2 linked regions of the Cricetulus griseus genome follow. Each later gene encodes a partner of the first gene's protein in a complex. Links are inferred from orthologs where the notes say so. Each region holds a gene or a part of one and is shown in the gene's direction. Other genes may lie near its edges.

Region 1 (9,542 bases):
TTGTTTTGTTTTTTGAGATAGAGTCTCAGCATGTAGCCCTGGTAGACCAGACTGGCCTCAAACTCAAAGATCTCCTTACCCCTGCCTCCTGGTACTAGGATTAAAGGCATGCCACCATGCCCTGCTATTGTTTTTTTAATAAAAGGGTTTTGCCAGGCATGGAGAAAGGGGTATGAGGATCTCTGAATTTGAGAACAGCCAGGACTATACAGAGAAAGCCTGTCTTAAAAAAAAAAAAATCAAAATCAGATGTTCTACTTATATCCTCTCCCTTCTGAAAGATTTTCTTGTAGGTATGTGTGATACCATCTTTGGACATGCTAGGCCACACAATCCCAGCACTCAAAGGCATTTTTTTTTAAAGATTGTATTTTTATTATTGTTAAGATATTCGAGTCTATGTGGGTATAGGTACCCTCAGAAGCCATAACCATGGCTAGAGTTATAGGTGTTTGTGAGCCACCTCAAGTGGTTGCTGGGAACCAAACTCAAATCCTGCGGAAGAGCAGTTCATGCTCTTCACTGAACCATCTCTCCAGCCCTTGCAAACGTTTTTATATGCTTGATGATTGTTGCTGTCCTTGTACCTCTGTCACCAGGAGCTGGGTTAAGCATTCATTGGATTTTGGATCGGAGTCTTGAGTAAAAGTGGTTCAGCAGTGATAATTATTGCTGAAAACAACTTAGCATCGCCTAGCTCCGTCCTTGACCTCTTTCCTTGTAAAGTGGGCCAACAAGGCAACATTGCTTTCAGAGATGCCACTGTTGAAATTTTAAAAAACCAACAAAACAACAACAACGACAAAAATGGCTCCAGAGAAAGTCGCCCTGCAGCAGCTCACATGGAGGGATTGTTGTTGTTGTTGTTGTTTTGGGGGGTGGAGAATGGGAAAGGGAAGAAGGGGAGGGGGAAGACCATCTCTGAGGATATGAGCAGCAGGAGAGAAAAGGGGACGAAAGCAGAGAGAGAGAAGGAGAAGGAGGGAGGGCGATGGGAGGTGGACGGGGGCCCTTTTAAAAAGGAACACAGTGAATATGCACATAGTGTACCCTGTCAGAACCCCAAGGGCATACCATACAGATGCACGAATACTAACAATCACCAGTGACCAAACCATGTACCTACAATGGTTTAGCCCCGACACTTTGTACCTGGTGTAACTCCATTTACCTACTTGGTTTGCTGGTGTGATAGTTGTCAGTAGAAACAGCAACAATATCTCCCAGGAGGTTTGTTTGTTCATTTGTTAGTTTTTCTGCCAGAAAGGGTTTTTGTTTGTTTGTTTGTTTATTTTCCTGATATTTACTAGGAAGTTGAGCTACAGGACAACATAAAGATGACATAATGACGTGTAGCCATCTAGCAGTTTCCCCTTCCCACTTCCTGTTAGTGCAGGATGCTTTCTGACTCTCTGATTGTATTTGTTTTTATTTCATGTATATGAGTGTTTTGCCTGCATGTATGTATAGGCACATAAAGGTGGGCCTGGTACCCATGGAGGACAGTCAAGGGCACTAGGTCTCCTGGAACTAGAGTTAAAGATGGTTGTGAGCCACCCTGTGGGTGTTGGAAGCCAAACCCTGTAAGAGCAGATTCTCTTAAACTGCTGAGCCTGAGCTGATGCTCCAGCCCCTTGTCTGCCTGTCTGTCTGTCTATCTGTATCTGTCTATCTATTTATTTGTGATTGGTTGGCTGATTGACTTTACTGATGTATTAGGCATTGAGCCCATAGAGAAGCAAATGCCTCTTTTTCAGAAAGTAAGCAAGGCCCTTGATTTATTTCCCCTTCAACGTTCATTTAATCAAGGGTTTATCTCCTGGGACTGAGTAAGACCAAAGAGAGGCACCCTTTCTCAGTTTGCTTCATGACTCGTGTGCCCACTGCTGCCCTTGACCTGCCATAAATCTCTTGGTCTTGAACCCTCCCAGGTAAATATTCTAGGTAAATATAGAAAACACTTGAGAGACTGCTGTTGGCTTACTGGAGAATAGCAGATTTGTACTAAGCATACAGCAGCATTTGTAAAAATAACTTCAAAATAAGAGAGGTTGTGAAGGGAAAATCACACAGCTAAAGTAAATGAAAAAGCTAGTAGGGTCATTGCAACAATGTTTTCTGTTTGTTTTTTCCCCCCCTTGGCTGCTGTTTTAGGGCCTCCATCAAAAAGTCATTTTTGTGTGTTTGACAGTATCACAGGACAATATAATGTATTGTGATTATGTTCACCTCCTGGTACTCCAGCCCCAACCTGGCTTCTGCGGGTGCCCTTTTTCTTCCTGACTAATACTTCTCCTACCTTTTGTCCTGTCTTCCTATAAACTGCTGCTGCTGTGTATTCATGAGTGCAAGGCCCTCCTGTCCAGAAGACATTTTCACAAGGCTCCTTTTCCATCCTCTATCTCTTCCAGACTGGCCTCTGGGCACATACACTTGTGTACACAGATAATGCCCAGATACATATTTAAAATTCAAGCAAATCTTTTTAAAGAAATGTTGTATATGATTGTAAAGCTGAAAATAACATAAATATCTAGTAGTACAGCAATGGTTAAAATGTACTGGAATTAAATTTTTCTATTAAATCTATCTTGCATGAAGCCCTGGGGTTGATCCTCAATACCACATAAACTGGGTGTTGTAGTACCACGTGCTTGTAATCCCACCACAAGATCAGCAGTTCAAGACCTTCCTTGTTTGAGGTCAGTCTGAGCTACATGAGACCTTGTCTCAGAAAGAAGAGGAAGACAGCAAAGAGGAAAGAAAAGGGAAAGCCGGGTGTGGTGGCGCACACTCATATTCCCCAGAATTGAGTGGTGGGGGCAGAGGACCAGGAACTGCAGGCCAGCATGGGCTGCATGAGACCCCGTGTCGAAGAGAAGAGATGGAGAGGGACTGAGTTATGGATTTAATAACACCGGGCCTCACTCTTGCTAAACATATACATCGTCAACCAAGCTGTACACTCAACCACTAATTAGTACTTCTTGACAAAACATTTATATTGTAGAGGTGTAATCTAAAAACCTCAAGGGTATGTTTCTTTATGTGAAACATCAATAGACACCTTTTTTGGGTGTCCTCTGTGAAACAAGCAGCCCTAGCTGTTCTGTAGACCTGGCTGGCCTTGAACTCACAGAGATCCACTTGCTTCTGCCTCCAAAGGGCTGGGATTAAAGGCGTGCACCATCACTGCTCGGCTGGATATCTTTTTTATTATGACAAAACTCATGATATGAAGGCTTCCATCATACTTTTTTTTGAGACAGGGTCTTACTCTGTAGCCCTGACTGGCCTAGAACTCTTGATGTATACCAGGCTGGCCTCAAACTTCCTGAGACCTGTGTCTACTTTTGTGTCCTGAGTGCAGATTAAAGATGTGTGCCTCCATAGCCCAGCCTCATTTTAAACATAATTTAGTAGTGTTAAATGCATCCACATTGTTGTGTATCCAAGTCCAGAACACTTCTTAGACATAAAACTTTTTCATTGAATCTGATTTTTAGCTTCTTTTGTTTTTTGTTTTGCTTTGTTTGGGAGATAGTGTCTCACTGTAGCCAAGCTGGCTTCGTGATTCAGGCTAACCTCTTTTCTAAGTGCTGGGATTACAGGTGTGTGCCATCTTGCCCAATTCGAATCTAGTTTTGGAAGCCACACACAGAGTGCAGGGGTAGAGCACTTATGTATCGTGACCAAAAAAGGTCAAACCCCCCCCCCCCATATAGATGTCCTCAACAAATTCAAAGGACGAAAGCAGGGGTGAGGAAGGGAGAAATAGCCTGGCATCTGCATTATTCATGTGCCCCCTAATTTGGATTCATGCTTACTGTGTATGTGAAAACAGTGCTTGTTTTTCTTGTTTCTAAGCCAGCCAATGAAAGGAGAATTCCTCTGGATTCTTCTCCTTGGGCACTTTGCTCTCTGGATGGGGCAGGGAGGGGCTTCTGTGCTATTGTTGGACTATTACTGTTAGTTCAGGCTCCTGGCTCTGCTTGGAGATGGTAGGTTCTTGACTTATTGGTCTTCCTGGTAGAAGATAAAAGTGACAAAACCTGTTACTGCCCTGGAGTTCTGGGGGCAGAAATCACCTTGAGTTGTTCTGGAGTCTTGTTTCCTTGAATTTGTATATCTGAGGTGCAGATTGCCAGGCCCTTCCTTTTACTCCCTCCTAAGGCCTTGATGTGACTTGTTACTTCTTACTGAGTCTTTTGTCTCTCGCTTCCTTTTGGCCCAGAACTCTCAGGCTTGCAGTTAGAGTCTCCTTGGCCCAGATGATATATGCTCATTAAAAGCAACTGTTCCGGATACGTGCTCCCTTCAGAAACAGAAACAGTCAGTCCTTGGGTCAGGCCACTATGTACCCAGAGTGTGTGTACTCAGGTGACCTGTGAGGTCCATGGCCTGGTGGCACTTGGCTTTAGCTATACATGTTTTGAGAGTGTGGAGTAAGTTTTGGTAGAGTCTCAAATTGGGGTGCCTCAAGGTAGCAGACTGACTTCATTAGCTGGTACCCTACAGTGTAGGCAGGAGGGTGCTCCCCACATCTTCTTTCCACTCTGACTTGGGGCTTGTTCCAGCTCTGCATGTTGTATAACTCCAGGAACTTGAGAGATCAAGTGGTTCATCTACCTCAGCCCCCCAAGTGGCTGGGCTCCAGTGTGTGCACACTATGCCTGAGGCTTGCTGATTATGTGACTACTACTGCCATCTGACGTTGCTTTCTTCCTCCTTTCCCTCCTCCCCACCAAGCTCTCATTATATTCCTTCTTTTTTCCTTTTTTTAAATGTTTGTGGTTGTTTTGCTTGCATGTATATCTGTGTGTGTGTGTGTGTGTGTGTGTGTGTGTGTGTGTGTGTGTGTGTGTGTGTGTGCATGTGCGTGCAGTGCCAGAGGAAGCTAAAAAGACAGTGCTAGGTTTTTGGGAACTGGAGTTTCAGATGGTTAGGAGCTACCATATGGATGCTAGGAATTGAACCCTGGGTTTTCTGAAAGAGCAGCCAGTGCTCTTAACCACTGAGCCATCTCTCCAGCCCCCTTATTAAATTTCTTGAAAACATGTGCCCAGGTCAAGACCAGAGGTCTAGGAATTAAAAACCAAGGATAGTTCCTGGTTTTTAAATGCTGGTGATCAAACCCAGGGCCTTTACACATGCTAGCAAGTGTTCGACTGCTGAGCTACACCCAGGCCCCTGGTTTTTACATTTTTCAAAGGATCATAAAGCAAAAAGAAAATAAAAAGTAAGTAAAAATGCATGTAAGCAACCTTTACGCAGTCTACAAAGTCTGTGGTACTTTTTTTAGTCAGCAACCTGTTTTCAGCCCATGTTGAAAGTGGATTTCCAAGCCAGCTGTGATTGCATGAACCTTTAATCCCAATACCTGGAAGGCAGAGACAGGCGGATCTCCATGAGTTCATGGCCAGCCTGTTCTGTGTACACAGTGAGTTTCAGGTCAGCCAGGGCTACATAGAGAGACTCTGAAGAATAACAAAATGAGTGTTAGAGAGACTCCAATGGCTGCTGAAATTTCTTTGCATTCCTTTCAGAAGTCTGCTTTCTCTGCTGACTTGTAACTGTTTCCCTCTTCCTCCCCTCCCCACAGAAATACCAGCCCTCGGATCCTGCCTTTGCCTATGCACAGCTGACCCATGATGAGCTGATCCAGTTGGTCCTCAAACAGAAGGAAACCATCAGCAAGAAGGAGTTTCAGGTGCGGGAGCTGGAAGACTACATAGACAACCTGCTAGTCAGAGTCATGGAGGAGACCCCCAATATCCTCCGAGTGCCGACTCAGCTTGGCAAAAAGGCTGGAAAGATGTGAACCGCAGGAAGGAAATGGAGATATTTTGTGAGCTTGTTTCCACCAACTCTCAAGGTCAAAGGCATGGTCTTCATAGTAACCAGCACACAGGCTCTCATCACTGGGTGTGTGCATTGTCTATCAAGAGTTTATTCTCCTAGTTGAAACCAGGTTAATTATTACAATGAATCTTTTCTATACATTCCTAGCATTTTAATTTTAAATGCCACTGTGCCTTTAACTAAGTTGTAAATGTAAGATTTGACTCTGAGCCATCAATTCAGGAGGCACCATCGGAACTAATGTATTTTAACACTGGGGTTTTCGCCCTTTGATACGGAGATCATCAAGTGTGTATCCTCCATGAAGCCAGGCTTAGGGTGAGATCAGAAAGGGACTATACTATGGATACTGTTTCACCTCCTTTCTTGGCCTTCAAGCAGCTCAGGTGTGGCAGATTCTAAATATTTTTGTCTTGTGAACTTCTCAGACTCAAGGATTGTTTTGGTAGGGTTTTTGTTTAGGGGGCATTGGTCTGTTTTCCAGATAGGCTGTTGTATAGCCTAGGCTGCTCTTGAACTCACTGTATAGCTGAGACTAGCCTTCTTCTGATTTTCCTGCCCCCACTTCCCAAGTGTTGGGATTACTGCTGTGTTGATGCCTCTTGCCTGGAGCACAACTGTTTACGAAAACCTCTGAGCATGCTTCTTAGACTTGGAACAAATTGTCTCTTTCAGGTCCTTCTGCCTTTTAGCTTTAAAAATATGATTTGTGGGTGGGGAGATACAGCTTAGAGGGTAAAGGGCTTGCACTGCAAACATGAGAATCTGTATTTGCATTCTCGGCACCCATGCAAAAGAGCCAACAGTAGTGGCAGGTGCCTGGGTGGGGGTGGTGAGTGGGCTCAGAGGGATGAAGGCGGGCAGAGACTGGCAAAGCCCAGCGGCTCACTGGCCAGCCGTTCTAGCTGAAACAGGGAACTCTGGATTCAGTGAGGGACCCTGTCTTAATAAGCCTCTGCCTACCTTAAGCCTCTGCCCTTCATATGATCCCACATAGGTGAATACACCCCACATATGTACATATGCACACATACGAAGACATGCCACCACACCCACAGGCACATATCCACACTGCTTTTTAGATCCATAGGGCCATCTCCTGAAGACATGAAGGAATTAAAGAGGCACTTTTCAGACTGGCTCATCAGTTAAGAGCACTGGCTGCTTTTTTAGAGGGACCCAGGTTCAATTCCCAGCACCTGAATGGTAACTCACAACTTTCTGTAACTCCAGTTCCAGGGGATCCAACACCCTCACAAACGTACATGCAGGCAAAACACCAATGGCACATTTTTTTTTTTTAAAAAAAGTCACTTTTCTTTTAAGTAGGGAAAAATGGTCAGAGTCCCGCCTCTCAAGCTAACAGGGTTCTGTTGTTGGCGAGAGGACTAAGCAATGCAGATACTTCAGCCTTTCTGTGAGGTAGAAAATGACTTTAGGAAGGGTCCCTTGGCCATGTGCCATTTGCTTGTCTTATTGGCTTTCCTGACAATGTTCATGGAAGGGAGTAGCCAGAGTCCACCAATTCCTCAAGATGAAGGATCCTTGGGCTAGGGCTGGGCAAGTGCTCAGTGGTATCGAGCACTGCCATCCCCACCCCACACTTGCTTTTTGATTGCTACTTCCTGATTTGGGGGGAGTTTTGTTGTTGCTGCTATTTTGAGACAGGATCTCACTGGCTTCAAACTTTCATCCCTCTTGCCTTATCTTTCCAAATACTGGGATCATGGGTATGTGTCGTCATGCCTGGTAGATTGCTGTATTTTTTAATATATATATATCAGCCCCATTTCATTGCTGGACACCTCATACTAGAATTAAAGTGTTTCAGGTTGCTCTTTTTTTTTTTCTTCCTGGTTGTAATGATCTTAACATCTCTGCTAGGGGCAATCACAGGCCAGTGGAATGGACAGGGTGGAGGTGGTGGTAGTTATGAATGAAGAATCTCTCTGTGTATGTCCTCGTCATCCGGAAGATGAGGACCATTGGTTACACTGGAGCACTTTAAGCTGAAGGGTGGGACTATAACTTGATTTATCTAATTAGCTGTTAATGATCCACACCTATTTTTATTTAATCTCTCCTACAATACTAGGGACCACTGCAGATTTCTGAGATGATTTGTAATTTTTCTTTTTTTAGTGTTGTAAAATTCATTAATATGCCTATAAAAAAAACATACTCACTTGAACTCTGAAAATGTACATGTATATGTCTGTTCTGGATCATGTTTTTTTACTTGATAAAAATGCATTTGTACTGTGATAACCTAAGTGCATGGGGGCAAGCACTGGTTCTCCAAAGAGTTGTCCTGGAGAACTAACTGCCTTGTTAATGGCCAGACTGGAGGTCTCTGCTGCGATTGGGACCTTTGGCATGTCACTGACTTAGTACTAGAGAGGACCATTTAGGTGGAGTGAATTCCTGTGCTCTGAAATGCCACTTGGGAACTCTGGAGAATGAAGGATAATTTACCTCAAGGGCTTCACTGGAAAACATTGCATTTCTAACTGCTGTCACTCACAGAATACATAGAGGCCACACCTACTTAATAACTGGTCTTGAATATGCAGTTGGGGGCTGAAGGAAGACACCAAGGGAAACCAAGCTTGCAGTGAGAGAGAGGTTTGTGACTTGGAGAGCTCTGGGAGCTACTGAGGCTGGCCACTGGAGGGGCCTGCACTCCAGGAAAAAAAAAAGGGCTTTTTTCCTTGCCCTTGCCTGGCTGCCTCCAGAAAGCCCAGCCAGGATTTGAGGGGGCATTGGAATAAATCCAGCAGACTCCGATTGGAGGTCAGCTTCCTAAAAAACAGTCAGCCCTCTGTCCAGTTGCTTCCTATCATCTTATGCTTGGCTTTGCCTCATGGCCTGGCCTCCCTGTTTTATTCCAGTACGTTAGTTCTCCTTCCTTCCACACCAGAAGGAAGGAGCGAGCAGCCCTGCTCTGTGCCATGCTCAACAGCAGTGCACATGCATGATAGATGAGCTGTGTGCCTCCAGCTTCCCAGTTCACAGGCATCAGAGAGGCTTTGCTATGCGCTCTATTGAGGCCAGAGTTCTTCATCCCTGGGTTCCTCTCCCTTTGGTTTATTGGCGGTGGGGATTAAACCCGGTGTCTTCTTCATGGGAATCCCATGCTCTACCACTGAGTTACACCCTCAGCCAGACCCTCACCCCGCTTTGTGATGTTTTTGTCTTTGTTTTTTAAGTCAGGTTCTCATGTAGCCCAGGTTAACCTTGCACTGGCTTTATGGCTACTGCTGACCTTTAACTCCTGATCCTCCTGCCTCTATCTTCCAAATGCTGAGAATATCAGCATGCTACCACTCCCAGGTTTTTTTGGGGGGGGGTTGTTTTGTTTTTTGGCAGAGGTGGGGGGTGGTGGGATGGGGTCCTGATTAAGGATCCCAAAAGACTGAAAATCAATCAGTTGCCCTAGATTGGAAACGTGAACCCACACCAGCCCCAAGTCTGGATTCTTCCACCTACTTTGTGAACTACAAAATTCCCTCCACCTGAAGGCTCAATGGTGTTTGTTTGTTTTAATTACAGAATTACTGTTCCCTGCATGTTGCTTTGGGACTTTTGAACTTGCTTGGTATTGCTTTTAAGAAATACCTAAGGGATTAGGCGTGTAACTCAGTCACAAAGCACTAGGTGTGATCCTCCCAGCCCCCCAC
Region 2 (10,608 bases), on another chromosome or scaffold:
TTCTTGGTCCAAGCTTGACAGCTTGTGTGAGATTCTGGAACCCATGTGGTAGAAGGAAAGAATGACTTCCTGCTTGTTATTCTCTGACATCCACGTGTGTGCAGGCATACACACAAATAGCTATGAAAAAAGCTGTGGCAGGAGACAAATGTTAGTATTAAGAGACAACTTTATTATATAAGTTTCCATAATACTAGATTATATATGAGATACCATATTTCAAACTTTTCAAAGTCTGCAAAATAAAGCATTATATTGAATATCAGTTTAATGAGCATTACTATCATATTACCCATCAGTTGGTGTCTGCAGTGAACAGTCTTGTTTTAGCTATGCATTGCTCCTCCCATCCTCATCTGTATCTCAGATATGTCAGGAACATTTTTACTCTTATAATCCTTTCAAATACAGGATTCATAGTTTTTTGGTTAAGTATTTTTATGGAAAAGAGGGTGAAGAATTGGAGTATTTATTTCTTCATAGCATACTATCTTTAGTGGGAAGGTTTTGTCTTTCTTTTGGGACATTGTCAAGCAACCCAGTACTTTTAAGAATTTATTTACATTAATTTACACAAAAGTATAACCTTAAATGACTTGTGGAAAGTTGATTTCAGAAATGAACATGTTGTTTTCAGAGGTCGTAATACTATTATGGGAAGGAAATTGACCATTTTGATTAGATTATTAGATTAACTATGAAAGTTTTATGTCCACCTGGCAGACAAGTTGAGTATCATTCCACTTCAGGAGCTTCTAAGCAAGAATGCATCCATTCTTGAGTTCTGTGAAGGCAGAGACAATGTTACTCCCTTTTTTGATAACTGTTAAAACCTTTAGTAGTAGTGATTTGTGCTTAGATACTAGGTATTTTCATATTGTTGGTGTTGGAATCACAAGAGTAGTCTTGTCTCCAGTAACAAAATATATAAATCAAAACCTAAAACTAAGGCAGGATATTAAGTCGTTAGATCACTTAAAAAAAATTGTTTTTTCCACTAATTAGTTATGTAAAGATTGTGTAGTGATCTGAGGAATAGACTATAATAGGTATAGAACAGGGAATGACACTGCATAAACGAATACATAAGAGTTAAAATATAAGCCTGAGAACATGCCCATTGTTATTGGGTGCTTTGTTTTTTACTCTGAGGTCTGTACCAGTACCTTTAAAACTAGTTATTTGGGGCTGGAGAGTGATGTCTCAGTGAGTAAAAAACACTTGCTGCTCTTGCAGAGGATCCAGGTTCCATTCCCAGCACTTACATGGTGGCTTACAACCAGCCATATAACTCTAGCTTTAAGGAATCTTACAGCCTCCTCTTCAACCGCTGTGCCCACCAGACATTCGGGTGGTGCACATACTATACATGCAGGCAAAATGTTCATATTCATAGAATAAATTTTAAAAATTAGTCATTTATATAATCTTAGGAAGGGATCTGATTTTGTTTGGTACAACAATGACTAGCATGTAATATATGTTTGGTAATCATTTAATTATAAATGTATTGATTCTGGAATATATATGATTTCAGTAAGTGAAAAAGAACATGCTACATGTTTGCTTTTGCTTTTGGTTTTTCTTTTTCTTTTTTTGGTTTTTCAAGGTAGTTTCTCTGTGTAGCTTTGTCTGTCCTGGAACTTGCTATATAGACCTGCTGGCCTCAAACTCAGCGATCTACCTGCCTTTGCTTCCGAAGTGCTAGGATTAAAGGGGTGCACCACCACCACCTGACTCTGTTACATGTTTTATGCATTGGTATATGCCATCTCTTTTTTTTTCCTTCAAGACAAGGTTTCTCTGTAGTCCTGCCTGTCCTGGAACTCACTTTTTAGACCAGGCTAGCCTCGAACTCTCAGAGATCCACCTGCCTTTCTCTCCTGAGTGCTGGGATTAAAGGTGTGCGCCACCAGTAACTGACAATATATTCCATCTATAAATAAAGCTTACATATCTTCTTAATATAGGTATTTTTCGTATTGAGATAACATTGAGAAATCCTTTATTAAAGCAACATTAAGCATGCTTAGTATTTAAAAGTGGCCTCTTGATTACATAGTGCAACAATTATCAGTGCCTATTGGGGCATTTTGTGAAGATTTCTTTTGATAGCCAAGGATGGTTATGTGTCTACCTTTGCACATCTTCACTAAGTTAGTTGAGAACATTGTGCTCTTTGGAGTCATGCCTCTGAGCTCAAGTTCTAGGTCTGTCATTTACTAACTTTAGAACATTGGTCAAAGTAGTGAATTTCTCCAAATCTCAAGTTCTTCATTTTCTGCAAGAAAATAACAATACCTTTACAGAGTTGTGAGAATTAAGAATTAGTATAGGGAAAAGTAACATCATTGTATGATTTATTCTCAAATGTTCCTTCTCATTGTTAACAGTAGATAGGTAATAAACCAGTATTACCAATTAGTTGTACACTTGTAGTTGTACACACTCCAAATGTACTTATTTAATATTTCTTATTCAGAGTGTTACGTTAGAAACACAGGAATGAAAGGTCAGTCAGTATCTTAAAGCGTCATGCTTTCTGGTACCTGGTTAACAACATGCTGGATACAGTATAGACTGGTCCTAAACTGCCTGAGCTAGACTACTACTTTCCTCTTGAAGTCATTTCCTCATTTAGCTGTCTTATAAGGACAGCGGTCAAGATGAAGTCACACTTAAAGAGTATTGCCTGGTCCATAAATGCCCCATAAATGGAAACTATGGCAGTTGTGTTAGTATTTTACAAATTGTTCAGTTTTCCTTTTAAAAAACCAAAGGCATCAAAGGAGAGCTTAATGTCAACTGTATCCAAATAATTTTTATTTAAAAAAAATAAACAAAGGGTAGCATTTCCTATAGTCACAGTACTCAGAAGGCTGAGGCAGGAGAATTATAAATGGATGATGTAGTGAGTCCTGGGCAAGCCAGTTTCACAAAATAAAATGTAAAGAAAATGCATTTTTTTCAAAGATTTTTTTATGTATTTATTATGAATACAACATCCTGCCTTCATGTATGTCTGCACCTCAAAACAGGGCACCAGCTCTCATTGTGGATGGTTCTGAGCCACCATGTGGTTGCTGGGAATTGAACTCAGGACCTCTGGAAGAGCAGCCAGTGCTCTTCACCTCTGAGCCATATCTCCAGCCCCCAAGAAAATGCATTTTAATAACTAACACAAGCTATAGAAAGTTGCCAACATCCTCCCTTTTTTGTTTTGTTTTGTTTTTCGAGACAGGGTTTCTCTGTGTAGCTTTGGAGCCTATCCTGGCACTTGCTCTGGAGACCAGACTGGCCTCGAACTCACAGAGACCCGCCTGCCTCTGCCTCATGAGTGCTGGGATTAAAGGCGTGCAAAACCAATGCCCTGAATGCCAAACTCTTTTTTTAAATGAGTGGACTGTGCTTTCACTGTGAACTAGAACATTTCTTGCTCACATCCTACCTCCTCTGCATTTTTTTGACCTTTGAGCTTTTAAAGCAAACAGAGGAATTATTTTTTCCTCTTTTAAAAACTAGGCAAAAATACTTTGTTTACTGTATCAGTCACATGCTTTATGTTGGAGAAGTGAGGTTGAGAAAACTCAAGAAAGTGAGGGTAAGTGTATGTAGCCCCTTACATATAGCTCTATTGTAAACCCATCATTTTGATTGAATAAAGAACTATGAGATTATTTAGAGTTTACCAGTTTCTTATTTTTGAATAAGTTTTCTGATTTTGTCTACAGAAATCAATAAATTTGGTGGTTTTTGTTGTTTTGTTTGTTTGTTTTGAGACAGTGTCTCATGTAGCTAAGGCTATTCTGAAGTTCATTATTTAGCAGAGGATGATCTTGAACCTCTTTTCTACCTGAGTGGGGGCTTATAGGTCTGTGCCACCGAGGCTTGTTTATGTGTGAAACTGGCTCTTGGTACATGCTAGTCAAACACTCTTTTGAGGTATGTCCCCAGCACTGTTTCCTGGTTTCTGCTTTTAGGGTTTTTTACTTGTAATTGTAAAAGAAACCTGTGTTGAAAAATTATTTCAGTGAAGTAGAAACAAAGCTTTGGTGTTTATCCTGAAATAGTGATTTATTTGAAAATCTACTATATTAATGTTTATTTCTTAAAAACATTCTCAAAACTCATCATTTCAGTTGATATTTAGAGGATGCTATGTGTGACAACCAGCATGTATACAAATTGTCCAGCGAATTAAGTTAATTTCATGATTGTTCCTAGAACACTTGAAGTTAGTTGACTTTGGAACTGTTAAAAAGCCATAATTCTTGGGTATTGTGTGCTGGGGCTTGAAGCCAGGGCCTTGTGTATGTTAAGCATGCATTCAATACAAGATCTGTAATTTTCTTAAATCAGTCTTATCTATTTATCCATCCATCCATCCTATCTATACCCGTCCGTCCGTCCGTCCATTGTCTCGCTATACTCACTCTGTAGACTAGACTGGCCTCAAACTCAAAGAGATCTGCCTGCCTCTGTCTCCTTAGTGCTGAATTTTAACATAATAAAATAGAAGGAAGCAAAGTATGTATATAAAATTTTAGTCAGAAGAGGGAAAGAAAATAGGAAAATCAAGGGGAAGAGTGCAAGAGAAACTTACTCAGAGGTGACCAAATGATTCCTTTGGAAAGGAATTTTAGGAATTAAAAACTAATTAGAGGAAAAGAAAAAAAATTGCTACAGGTTAAGAATTTAATAACCTTGAAAATTCTTTAATTTGGGGTTCCCCCTTGTAATTAGTAGCTGGTTCAGATATCTGGTAAATAGTTTAGATCAAAGTTTAACCTTGAGGCCAAGGGTTTTGTTTTATTTCTTTGTGTAACAGTTTGGCTGTCCTGGAACTCACTCTATAGACCATGTTGACTTCAAACTCAGAAATCTGCCTGTCTGATTCCTGAGTGCTGGGACTAAAGGCGTGAGCCATAATTCTGGTTAAGGCCAAGTTCATTTTAAAGTTTGAATCCTAGTAGCTTCTGGAAAGGAGGTAACAGTTAGTGTTTAGAATACCAGCTAATCTAACTAGAAAAACTCCCCTTGAAAGAACTGGTTAAGGGAGTTTTCTGTGATGTGGAGGACTGATTAAAATGTGTCACAACATGCTGGGTGGATTGGGAGCAAGGCATGGACTTGTGTTGAATGCTGTCTTTATAGCACAGTGAGACAGACGACCATGTATTATGTGAGGTGCTCTCTAATTTCCTGCTCTAAGGGTTTCTTTTCCTTGATTATTCACCTATTGCAATGTTCTCCCTGTAGGTTATTGGATTATGTTGAAGTTTTATTTGACATATAGCATGAAGTTATCACAAAATATTCATTAAAACAATAAAAAGCAAGCATTTTTAACAATGTCTTGATGTGTATGATTTTTGTCTTTCCTTAGCTGGAAGCTGGTTTAAATAAATGCATTGGATGTTACTATTGATATTAGAATGTTTCTCTAGAACCTAGCACAGTGTTAGATACATAATGGCACCCAATGTGAATTATTTGGGAAGATTTTTGTTCTTGAGACATAGGTTTCTTTATTGTCCAGGTTGACCTCAAAAGCTTGGATTCAAATAATCCTTCACTCTCCTGAGTATCAGCTGGGACTAACGTGCATGCCATTGTGCTTGTGAGGTTAAAAGTTATTATAAGTAGTAAAGAAATTAAAGTTTTTTTTAGGTTGTCTACCTGAGGACTAAGGAGTAGGCTGTGATCTTTGGAAGTGTCTGTCTGTCTGTCTGTCTGTCTGTCTATCTATCTATCTATCTATCTATCTATCTATCTATCTATATAAGCTTTTGCATTTCACAAGCATGAGTGTAGCTTTATAGGATTATTTCTCAACTCCTAGAATGCAATACACTTCATGTGTTTTTAATAATTAAATACCATATTGAGTTGAGCTATATGAAATTGCAATAATAATTGTTCCCTTTTTAAAAGTCTGTAAGAACAACAATTTCAAGTGATTCAATCTAATTTTGACATCAATTTGATTTTGATTACATTCTTGTTCTTTAGACTTTAGGTTCTTTGCTAAGTATTGATTTGAAGTAGAGGACAGAAGTTATTTTGTATTTGTTAGTGCTTAATTTTGATATCATAGCTTATTTGATCAGTTAACAAGGAAAAGGACCTTAAATGGAGAAGGAACTGTTGAATGATGTTTCACTTAAATTTACAAAGATTCTCTTAAATTTTCTAGAATATTTGTTTTGGGGTATTTTCTAAAGTAAACTTGGGAGTGTTTTGGAGCATATTTTTTCATAGTTTTGTAGATAACATGAGAATATTCAGTAACATTTATTCAAAAAAATTTGTAATCAGTTTGGGAATTTTACTGACTTAGATCAAAGTTTTGTTTGTGTAGTCAATATGCTTTTTAATATGTGTGGTATATTTAAAAAATGTGTATGTTTGAAATATATCTTGCCTTTTGAAGGGGTAGTAGTAGTGGGTTTAGATAACTTGTGTGTACTTTTTTTCTGAATTAACATAGTTTTCTTTGTTTTTAGTGCCACCATGGCAACTGCACCATACAACTACTCGTACATCTTTAAGTATATTATTATTGGTAAGTTTATTAAGCTTGTATTCTTGTCCTCCAAAGAAAGTTAACACATGAAACATTTATACAGCAGTACTTAAACATACTGCTGCAGAAGTGCCATGATTTTCTGACTTAAGAAATAAAGCTTTTTGATGAAGATAACATGCCTTTTGTATCATGGCCCTGGGTACTTCTCTACTCTCTTTTGGGGCACTAGTGAAACGATTGTGATTGTTTTTCAGGGCCACTTCCAAAAGTTAGTGTTGGGGATGAAATTATTTCCTGTTAGCGCTGAAATATCCCAATATCATAAAAGTTTTCCAGTCCCCTTGAATTCCAGCATTGGTAGAGAACAGTTTGATTCAGAATCAGTTGTGTAATATGTATTATTTAAGAATATTTTTGTTTCCTCAAGACTTTGCTCAAATTGTCTTAATGCTGTTTATCTGTGAATGTTTATAAAATGACAGGTGAAAGCCCAGGTGTTGGTTGGATTGTGTGCTGGGGGTAGAACTCCTCCAAGCCTGCCCAGGCTGTGGGTTTGGTTTGATCTCCAGCGTGGAAAACAAAACAAACCATAAATAAATAAAAAGCTTTGATGTCAAGTTCGTGTGGTTTTGTGAAATGGCATCTGCTGTAACTTAGAGGTAAAACAGGAGATAGTGAGTCAAGCTTCCAACATTTAATTTGTTAATTATTTCTAGTTGCCCTTGGGAGATAGTTCATTTGCGTAGACCAACAGGTGTACTTGGGCTACCCACCTGGAAGCAGTTCAAATTTTAAAAGTTCCATAACGGTAATTCTTCTGTCACAAGCCATGGACATGTTGGATCTTTACTAACAGTAATTTACAACAAAATTCGATCCTTATAAACATTCTTTTGAATTCATTATAAAAGAAGGAGATGCAGATGCTCCAAGTGTTCAGAAACCTGTTATGTGTTTTATATCCCCAGTGCAATAGTTACTGCAATATGATTTTAAGAGTAAAAAAGAGAAATAGAAGAATTGCCACCTGAAACGTTTTTCTTGTTTTAAACAGGGGATATGGGAGTAGGAAAATCTTGCTTGCTTCATCAATTTACAGAAAAAAAATGTAAGTTCAATATAAAAGGTAAAAAAGATGAGTAGCTTACTTTATTGTCACATTCACATTTTGCATTATTTTCAGTGTAATTTATGCATTTGATCATAACCTGTCTCCATATTTACACTTTTTTCCCAAGTTTGATTTTAAAGATTTACGAGAGAGAGAGAGAGAGAGAGAGAGAGAGAGAGAGAGAGAGAGAGAGAGAGAGAGTGTGTGTGTGTGTGTGTGTGTGTGTGTGTATGTGTGAACTTTTAACTGCTAAGCCATCTCTGTGGCCCCAAGTGCCATAAATTTTTTAATAGGTACAGATAAAATGCAGTATTATCACCAGCATGTTTAAATGTTGTTCTTTTAATTCATGATGTATAACTAGGTTTACTTTGATTTTTGTTAGTTAGTTTGTTTGTTTATTAAGAGGTTCTCACTGTTTTACTCTGCTCTGGCTGACTTGAAATAGACTGTGTAGAACAGGCTGTCCTCAAACTCAAAGAGATCTACCTGCCTCTGCCTCCTGAGTGTTGGGATTAAAGATGTGCACCATCATGGCAAGCTGTTTTGATTTCTTGGTAGTACAAACATAGAATTAATTTTTAAAAATGTGTAAAATGTTAAATGTAAAAAACCTCATTTTTACTCTTTTACTTTAAATGTACCCTTTAAACATTTATGTGGGTGTATGCACATGTATGCATGTGTACATGTTGGTATGTATGTATGTGTATGCCATTTGTGGGCTGATACTCACAGAGACCAGAAGAGGGTGTTGGATCCCCTGGAGCTGTAAGTTATAGGCAGTTGTGAGTTTAGCGTAGGTGGTACAGGGAACTAGACTCTGGTTCTCTGAAAGGACAGCAAATGTTTTTAACCACTGTGACATCTCTTCAGCTCTCCAGCCCCCAAATTTTTTATTATTATTATTATTATTATTATTATTATTATTATATATTTTTTTGTTTTTCGAGACAGGATTTCTCTGTGTAGCCTTGGCTGTCCTGGAACTCGCTCTGTAGACCAGGCTGGCCTTGAAATCACAGAAATCCACCTGCCTCTGCTTCCTGAGTGTTGGGATTAATGATATGTGCCACCGCCACCCAGCTAAAATGTATTATTTTAAGAAACTTTTTTTTTGCACTGCATGTATCATTTATTTATGAAAATTAGTAGCTTTTTGGCGGGGTTTCTCTGTGACTTTGAAGGCTGTCCTGGAACTAGCTCTTGTAGACCTGGCTTGTATTGAATCACAGAGATCTGCCTGCCTCTGCCTCCCGAGTGCTAGGATTAAAGGCCACCACCGACCGGCTTAAAATTAGTGGTTTTAGAATACTAAATAGAATTCATCCTGGTTTTATGACTGGCTAAGATTTAGAGTACAACTTTTATCTTGTGGCAGAGAAAGAGGCCGTATAATATAATTTATAAGCTAAAAATAATTGAGATTTTGGCATTTTTGTGATGCTTGCCACAAAGGTTTTCTGAAATTTGGATCTTTTCTCCAACAGTTATGGCTGACTGTCCTCACACAATTGGTGTTGAATTTGGTACAAGAATAATTGAAGTTAGTGGCCAAAAAATCAAACTGCAGATTTGGGATACAGCAGGACAGGAGCGGTTCCGAGCTGTTACACGGAGCTACTACAGAGGGGCTGCGGGTGCACTCATGGTGTATGACATCACCAGGTAAGATGATGTCATACTTGGGAGTAGACCTCTACTTTGGGCAGTGTGGTTTCTTTTTTACTGAGGTAGGCTTTCTTTAGTTTGTAATTGGATGACTGTAAATAATTCACTTAGGTTTTGTGGTTTCTACTCTAAAATTGTGACAAACTTAAATAACATGCTGGTTTTCTTCACCTGAAGTTGGCTAATGAAAGACTGTGGAGACAATGGGGAACTGAGAGAACACAGTCTGTGAAGCAGCACCAGTTGTTTGCAGAGAAGTGGCTTTATATGAAACTCTGATTTCAGGGAAGGCGAGTCAGTTTTGAGGAATCGCTGTATGCAGTCTTTTGTGTTAAAATTGACACCGTCTGCAAATAGGCCAAGTGAGGAGTGAAACACTTGGTTTTGTTATGGCAGCATGGTAGAATGAAACAGATCCTGTGTTTTCATCTATAGGCCAAAAGGAGGTTCTTTTTTGATATATATGACTTTTTTGACATTTAGGTGGTAGTTTATATGTAATATTTACTCATTTTCTTAATTCATTTTTCTACTATGGTATTGAAGTGACTTAAAACACTGCATCAGGATTCAATTCCTGACAACATGGCTGTTTCTGGAAACTCAGAGTATTTGACATGAAGTCACAAAACAGTAATGTAAAGGTTTGACTTTGGAGCACATAGCAAACTGCTCCTTACTAGACCAGAACAGTTGTCTGCTGTATGTTAGATGAACTGGATGGGTTTTTTGTTTTGTTTTGTTTTTTAATCTCTCTCCCCCCAGACAGGGTTTCTCTGTCCTGGAACTATCTCTTGTAGACCAGGCTGGTCTCGAACTCACAGACATCCGCCTGCCTCTGCCTCCCGAGTGCGTGTGCCACCAATGTCCAGCTGAACTGGTCACCTTTTATGATGATGCACAGTCGAAAACAACCCTAAGAAGAGTCCCTCCTAAGAAACAAGTGAGTGGGACCAAGTGACAGCTGGAGATTGTTCTACCCGGGAAACAGTTTATGCCATTTCATCTTGAAGAGTAAGAGAGTACCTGGGCATATGAAGATTCTTAAGATGTTTACTGTAAAGGAATCCCTTGACTTTGACACACTCTTGAAAATGCTGCCTTAGAATATTGATAGGATTGAATATAATTATAGTACAGAAAGCCTCGGTAAATTATTAGCAAACAGTAAAACAAGCCTTTATTCTCTACACTGTACTGGACAGTTGGTAACATGATTAGTGAATGGTCTTGTGGGGAGACTGTAAGAACTTGGCTGTTGTACAGAATTGCCTCAATGTGAATTATTACTGCATTC

What was found. Proteins that work in one complex are often made in the same cells at the same time.
Region 2: the proteins of Rab11fip1 (region 1) and Rab14 are in contact, whole or in part, in a crystal structure (PDB 4D0G), measured with the Homo sapiens proteins. The link is inferred for Cricetulus griseus from reciprocal best matches to the Homo sapiens genes RAB11FIP1 and RAB14. Residues at the interface, in NP_001002814.2 of Homo sapiens: Glu1252, Ile1255, Asp1256, Asn1257, Leu1259, Val1260, Met1263, Pro1267, Asn1268, Leu1270, Arg1271, Ile1272; in NP_057406.2 of Homo sapiens: Leu28, His29, Ile44, Gly45, Val46, Glu47, Phe48, Gly49, Trp65, Arg72, Arg74, Ala75, Val76, Ser79, Tyr80.

Annotation. Positions count from the first base shown.
Region 1 is NW_023276807.1:56,691,116-56,700,657, forward strand, and holds the end of Rab11fip1 (rab11 family-interacting protein 1), read left to right. Parts: intron 1-5,602; coding exon 5,603-5,821; 3' UTR 5,822-5,822; downstream 5,823-9,542. UniProt on the Homo sapiens protein: A Rab11 effector protein involved in the endosomal recycling process. Also involved in controlling membrane trafficking along the phagocytic pathway and in phagocytosis. Interaction with RAB14 may function in the process of neurite formation.
Region 2 is NC_048599.1:146,991,812-147,002,419, reverse strand, and holds part of Rab14 (ras-related protein Rab-14), read left to right. Parts: intron 1-6,506; 5' UTR 6,507-6,513; coding exon 6,514-6,565; intron 6,566-7,583; coding exon 7,584-7,637; intron 7,638-9,130; coding exon 9,131-9,308; intron 9,309-10,608.